2 linked regions of the Drosophila melanogaster genome follow. The protein of the gene in region 1 purifies or fractionates together with the protein of each later gene. This does not show direct contact. Each region holds a gene or a part of one and is shown in the gene's direction. Other genes may lie near its edges. The genes, in order: Ilp4 and ImpL2.

The links.
Region 2: the proteins of Ilp4 (region 1) and ImpL2 purify together in Drosophila melanogaster (affinity purification with western blotting, with the first as the bait; one study listed by BioGRID). This does not show direct contact.

Annotation. Positions count from the first base shown.
Region 1 is NT_037436.4:9,802,807-9,806,244, reverse strand, and holds Ilp4 (Insulin-like peptide 4), read left to right. Parts: upstream 1-1,981; 5' UTR 1,982-2,131; coding exon 2,132-2,297; intron 2,298-2,358; coding exon 2,359-2,597; 3' UTR 2,598-2,846; downstream 2,847-3,438. Other genes in the region: CG32052 (uncharacterized protein), read right to left, coding at 150-342, 860-1,557. UniProt on the Drosophila melanogaster protein: Possible ligand of InR/insulin-like receptor.
Region 2 is NT_037436.4:4,224,103-4,228,051, reverse strand, and holds ImpL2 (Ecdysone-inducible gene L2), read left to right. Parts: upstream 1-2,101; 5' UTR 2,102-2,159; coding exon 2,160-2,168; intron 2,169-2,345; coding exon 2,346-3,125; intron 3,126-3,200; coding exon 3,201-3,215; 3' UTR 3,216-3,342; downstream 3,343-3,949. Other genes in the region: CG46460 (uncharacterized protein), read left to right, coding at 1,276-1,371. UniProt on the Drosophila melanogaster protein: Essential developmental role during embryogenesis, in particular the normal development of the nervous system. May be involved in some aspect of cell adhesion.

The DNA of each region.
Region 1 (3,438 bases):
CAAAAATGTAACGAATGATCTTCACAAGCCATGTATTTCCGAGATATTTAGTTATTATCCACTTAAAAGTTAATAATAATATGCTTTAAGTGGTACTAATCTTCAAGTAGTTTTTTATGGCTGTAGAAATGGTCAGACTAGTACTTAACCTTTGGCATCGTAGATCAGACGGAAGGTGTCCGAGTGTAGGTGTCCGAAGAACTGACCCTGGATGACCGGCGCAAAGCGGCGGACCATGTCCAGGTAACGTTGGTTATTGCGCTCCGTGAAAGTCAACTGGTTGTGCTGGGTGCCCAGGTGACGTTCATCAACACCTGGTGGCATGTGGCCAACGATGTATACCTGGTTGGGACAATGAGTAAACGGATTCGGTTCATTTAATCCAAGCGGCGAATGATATGAAATCAATCCTTCTTGTTGCAAATTAAATATGATAATTAATCAAAAGGGCAGTTGGCTATCCGATTGGATTTACTGGCATGCGATATGCAAGGGTCAAGGTAAGACAAAAATATTGAATATTTACATATTCGTCGCGTTATCTCGTTAATTTTATGAAAAAAAAATTGGCTTTACGAGCAGCAAACATTAAACTGTGGCCTTAAATTTTGTGAAATTTAATTTAATTTACGTTAAAAAAGTGCAAAAATAAAGCGAGTTTAGTTTATCAATAATTTCATAACAACTTCGAAGTATAAAAATAATGAGTTCATTAATTTATCTGTAAATATGGGTTGTTGACACATTCTGATATTAGTAGATTGAAATGAGAATTAATTAATATTAACATAAAAAAAGCTGATTTTAAATTACATTACTATTTTTCCAACTATATACTGTTTAAAATAGTTACTCCTACCGTTTCCTGTTTCTCTTTGGACTTGGTGAGCACCTCCTCCAGCCAGAGCCACTGCTGCTCCGCCAGCAGCTCATCCTCTGCCGATATGGAGCTCACGGATGCCTTGGGCTCGGCAAAATATTCAGCTGGCCATCGTAAACTTAGCGATGCCCTTGGATCCGGATCGGGATCAAGTCGCATGAAATTCGTATTTAGAGCCACAATGCGCAGACGACTCTTGGTCTGTTCGATGGAATAGTAGCCGCCCTGATCGAAGGTCACCAGAGCCTCGGAGGGAAGCCAGTGCCGCCACAATTCGCCCAATCTGCGATAGCTGCCACTGCCGTCCTCGTGACCCAAGACCGGAAATATGAACTGCGAGGAGAAGCTGCGTCCGAGCAGTTCTGTAATATTTCGCAGGATTTCGTGCTGCTTCTGCTCGGAGAGCGGCTGAGCCGAATGGGATAGGGCATCTCCTGTCCACAGAACGAACTCCACATTATCGCCCTGCTTGGCCTTCATCGTCTTCACCGCCGATTCAATCAGTCTCCAAGGACTATCGCAGTTGTAGTGTCCAAAGGGACCAGGTGGCTCCGATGCCGCACTATTGGCATTGGAGCCGGAAACCGATCGTGCTAACTCCCAGCAGCTTCTGTATATGTCGCCCTGCGTGGAGTAGAGTGTGTCAAGGTGGAGGTCACTAATGTGCCAGAAGTAGCCTGTCAACAAACAAGTAGAATCAAGTAAATGTGTTAGTTAAATACCCATAGATATATGTAAAAGTTGTTGTTTTATTTGCTAAGAAAAGTTTAATCTATATCCCAGTTTTACACAACAAATTTTTATGTCCTGAGCAATTTCGTATGTATTTCCCCTTCGTAAAGTAAGGATCGAGATTAGACTTTGACTTTGGTTAAGTCGGGCAATTCCTGGCCGGGAAAGGCCATTTCCTTTCGCGGGGCATTTTCCCGCCGGCTGGTCGAGCGACAAAAATAAGAAAAACCTGGTAGTTCAAATGGAAATCTCCTGCAGCTGACTGTTTGGTTGGTTGACTGACCTGGCCCGAATTTAACTTTCTACCTGGTCGCAATACGTGAAGTCAAAAAGTCAATTAGCGAGTCAACATTTTGAGCGCCGGCCAACTCCAAGGATCAGTATCATTTGGCATGCCCAGCGATCGGTTTGCCAAGAGCACGAGAAGTTCGAGATAGGACCCAGAGATACCAGAGATAAAGGAGGCATACCTTTTATGCCCGGTGAGAGCACGGACGGCGGAGTGAAAGATCGAGCAGGATGAGCCTGATTAGACTGGGACTGGCGCTGCTGCTCCTGCTGGCCACCGTGTCGCAGTTACTGCAGCCGGTCCAGGGACGCCGAAAGATGTGCGGCGAGGCTCTGATCCAGGCACTGGATGTGATTTGTGTTAATGGATTTACACGCCGTGTCAGGCGGAGCAGTGGTAAGTTTGGGTACTATGCATATTCGATTGGCTTCCATACATCTAACTTCTTTTCGACAAGCGTCTAAGGATGCTAGAGTGCGAGACCTTATCCGTAAGCTACAGCAGCCGGATGAGGACATTGAACAGGAAACGGAAACGGGAAGGTTAAAGCAGAAGCATACGGATGCGGATACGGAGAAGGGTGTGCCACCGGCCGTCGGAAGTGGACGAAAGTTGCGACGCCATCGGCGACGCATCGCCCACGAGTGTTGCAAGGAGGGCTGCACCTACGACGATATACTGGACTACTGCGCCTGATGACCAGGATGGCAAAACAAAACAAATAAAAACCAGAAACCAGATCCCAAAAACCAAGTACCAGATGAACACGACATGGCTGAGATTTTGTGTGGCGGCACGGGGAAAACACCCGACGACCGGCAGGCTATTTGCAATTCATTTTCCTACTACACTTAACCCCTAACTATAAACGTAATCGTATTTCCAAATATTTCATTGTAAAATTTCTAGTGGAGGCAAATAAAGTTACTCTCCAAGCAGCAGCAGAAACAAAAGAAGAGTCCATTGCTTTTTTCTACATTCTACGCCCTGCAGCATTCCAGCTGTGAGGCATGGGGAATCCCCTTGTTATTCAAACCACCCGAAGCCACCCAAACCATCGAGCCACCCACAAGCAGCTGCCATTCAGCACCTCGAGTGCGGTGCCCTTGTTTTCCGAGAACAATAATGAAAAATATGAATTTTTAATTAGATGACGTTCTGATTTTAATAAGCAAAACAAAAGGTGGAGACAAAACGAACTCGGTAATACACTCAGATTCGAATTTACAGCTTCCTTTTTATCCATAATTTTTGTTATTATCGAAGGAGCGATATCAAAACTAGAAAACAACTTCCAATCAGTAGCGGGATTTTCCGAAGATAACACTCTATTCAACCGAAGGGTTTTGAAATGATAATAATTCCGTTCTTACAGGTAAAAATCTATACTAATACCTGTTTTTTTGCGGACGGAAAAAAGGCTCAGTTGGCTTATCATTGGCAAAAGGGACTTGGGGAAACCATAAAGTATCGAAGGTACTGAGCCAAGATAATGAGATAACAGAAGGCGACTTTATTGTTTTCCACTCAAAAGCAA
Region 2 (3,949 bases), 5.6 Mb from region 1:
CCCAAGCTAAGCAACCACTCTGGAGACTGGGCCAAGAAAAAAAAAAAAGAAGTGGTCTGTTCTTGGCCAGACATTTGAATGCTGCTCGCACCGTCAACGGGCTTTAAGTTCTGATTCCCATGGGTGGTTATTAATTGGGAGATTGGTTATGGATTACAAAATTAATTCGTTCGAATGAATTCGAAACCATGGAGTTTTAATTAATGGTTTTGACAACTACAGTGCTAATTCAGTAAGCTAAACGAATAATATACGGTTGATACTTTGCACTTCGTCGAAATGATTCATGAATATTAACAGAGTAGTGTGAAGCACCTTTATATGTAGGGTTAATTAATTTTACTTACATGTGATAGAAAGTCATAGGATCTCGAACACTGTTGTATGTTCTCAACAACTTGCATAAGATGACAATGTTAATTGTCAAGATCGAAATGAAATGGTATATGGGCTGGAAAGTCATTGAGCTATCCTTGTGAGACACCTCAGTTTCCAAACCACCAACTCTGGACTGCGGACGCAATTAGGCGGTGGAAAGACAGATCCCGAGGCGGATAATCGAACCCCCCGTCCGGTTATATCTGTTTTGTTCCGCACCTTCCCGGTGCGGCGGTCGCATAAAGAATTACGATCCGAGAACGAGCAGAGAGAGAGCGGCGAGTGAGTGAGAGTGTGTGTGTGTGTGTCTGTTGTCTGTGTGTGTGTGTGAGTGAGCCGGCGTCGCATATAAATGGAACAGCGCTGCGGCCACCAATTCAGTTCTGTTACAGTTTCCAGCTGTTGAACACGACTTTTGAGAGCCGCCGAAGCCAACTGATCCGAAGTTAACTAAGCCGATCCGCGATCCTCGCTTTTCAATTCGCCGTGAACCGCATTCGCAGCAGCAATCCCCCCCAAAAACCAAAAACCAACACACCTTGACTCGAGTGTAATGTCGATGAACCGTGCGTATTCAAACGAGTGCCGCGCCAACCAGACAACCATCAAGAAGTACCAGACCAAGTCCACGTCCACATCGAAGGAGCACTGATACCGCCACGAGGATCGAATGTGCCAAAGTAGTCAGCTAGATATTCGCTACGCCGCCTGAGATTAACACGCTTCCGCTACCCAATTACTCGATCCTTATCCCGATCCTGAAGCGCCACTCCCGAGCACAGCACCCAGACGTTTCAATACGATCCATCCTCGTCGCCCAAGACAGACCGGCAAGCAGCCAAGATTCCACCAACACTGAGCTGCACGACCTCCAAGACGGCATCCAGCGCCGGACCTATGTCAGTGCTAAGCCAGCTGCTGCTCAACTTCAACCAGAAAGCCCAGACCAGGAGCCATCACAACATAGAGCTGATAAATTCGTTCATAACATAACGATAAGCCGACCTGCTTCTGCTTTACCTGATCTATCATCGTCCAACGTTGGGGAGAAATTTGCAAACATTTTTTACCGGAAGAGAAAAAAGAAATCAAATCAAAGGGTGAGTAATGTGCGTTAACAATAGATAGGTGATTGCCGCCGAACGCAGTTTCGTGTTCCGTTTTTCGTTTGTTTTTTTTTTTTCAAAATTCGAATTCGTAGAAATGCCCAAAGATACAAAAATCACCGTCGAAGGGCAAAGACCGTCTGATGCAACATTCGCCAGCGATTGGCGAATGACTTTTTGTGGGGCTACTACTAATTCATACATACAAGCGTATGTACATACATAATACCCTCGAAACTATTTGAATAATTAATCGGTCACGCAGTTTGTCCAGTCTAGACTATGGGGACACATTGGCCCTTGATCTGCGGCTGAAGCGTGGGTGAGTGTGTGAATCCGAATCGGGCTGTAGAATTCGAATTTAAATTGACGTCACACTCCGCGAGTCATTCCGTTTTCCGTTTTCGATTTCTGCCTCTGATTCGGCCCACGCAAGAATCTTATATCATTTTCTTTTGTCAATTCTTGTTGTCTGGTGACGTGTCATTGTGAAATACATTCATCTACGTTTGGACCGAGCACATCTCTTAGGGGCCGGAAAAGGATTCCGAATCTAAATTCCGGACTCCGAGAGCCATTAGCACATTTCGCAAGTGTTAGTAATGTTCTAGAGCCCGCCGACTGAAGGCCTTGCGTTCTTATCGGGGAAATAGACTCGGAGACCTCCCCTGATTAATGGAGGCGGTGATGAGTGGGGGAAGTGGGGTGGTGGGGTGGTGGGGGGATGCATGACTGGCTGAAAAGTCGGGCTAATCGCATCACGTTGCTCTGGGGTTTAATAACCTATATTAGAGTCGTACGAGTGCCGCTGTTGAACTTTGAACTCACTTCCGATTTCCACTCTCTCTATCGATCTTGCAGAAAATGAATTTACATGTGTGCGCCTTAGCGCTGCTGCTGTTCGGCAGCATCGCCACTGTCCGCGGAAGAGCCGTGGACCTGGTAGACGATAGCAACGACGTGGATAACTCCATCGAGGCGGAGGAGGAGAAGCCACGCAACCGAGCCTTCGAAGCCGACTGGCTCAAGTTCACCAAGACGCCGCCGACGAAGCTGCAGCAGGCCGATGGAGCCACCATCGAGATCGTTTGCGAGATGATGGGCTCCCAAGTGCCCAGCATCCAGTGGGTGGTGGGTCACCTGCCCCGCTCGGAGCTCGATGATCTGGACTCCAACCAGGTTGCCGAAGAGGCGCCCAGTGCCATTGTGCGCGTCCGATCGTCGCATATCATCGACCACGTGCTGAGCGAGGCCCGCACCTACACGTGTGTGGGACGCACTGGCTCCAAGACCATCTATGCCAGCACTGTGGTGCATCCTCCTCGCTCCTCTCGTCTGACGCCGGAGAAGACCTACCCGGGTGCCCAGAAACCGCGAATCATCTACACCGAGAAGACGCATCTGGACCTCATGGGCTCCAACATTCAGCTGCCCTGCCGCGTGCACGCCCGTCCCCGCGCCGAGATCACCTGGTTGAATAACGAGAACAAGGAGATCGTCCAAGGACATCGCCACAGGGTGCTGGCCAACGGCGATCTTCTGATCTCCGAGATCAAGTGGGAGGATATGGGCAACTACAAGTGCATAGCCCGCAACGTCGTCGGAAAGGATACCGCCGATACCTTCGTGTATCCCGTACTTGTAAGTATTCCCCTACCCGCCGGGTTATACCAACTCATCCTAAGTAATCCCTACGTATTTTTCTTGTCCTTGCAGAATGAGGAAGACTAAAGATCCTACCACCAAATAAAAAACAAAAGGCTATTGGATTGACGACGGAAATTCATCTAGTTAGTTAGATAGATCAAATGCCTTCGAAGATGCGTGAAAAGAAATGAAATATGCTTAGAAAAAATACAAAAAAAAAAAAATCAAAAAAAAATATGATGGATCAAAAGGTCATACGATTTACAATTATGTACAATTTAGATTAAGCACAATCTAGCTCGTAGTCCAGGTAATTAACCGTATCTAATGCCGGCTTAGACACTAATTTTCCCACTTATTATCCTCGAATATCAGTCACATTTAGAGCATTCGAATTATAGCACCTACTTTATGGTTTTCTTCAATTATAGCTTTAGTTATCGGCTTGTAATCACGCTTCTTTGGTTCTTTGTAAGTAGCAATGATTGTTCCTAGCGATTCAGGCAGCACTAGTTAACGTATTTAAACTAATTGGCCGTTTACTTAAGGGCACTGCAGCCCAAGAAGCACTTATGACTCGTGGCACAAGCCACAGTCAATCAACCAATCAATCAGTCAATCACCCACCCAATTCGTATTTATGTGCACCCATCATTTCTACAACTAATTTATTGATCGACCAAATTCATTCAGCATCGCCACCCATACAGAATCACTGAATAGTATTCACGGAATTAATCAGTTTCATAAGCTACCCGACTATGTTTTAATTTATAAGGTAATAGAACTGAAATATGTTTTTCTAATTGTTTAGTGTT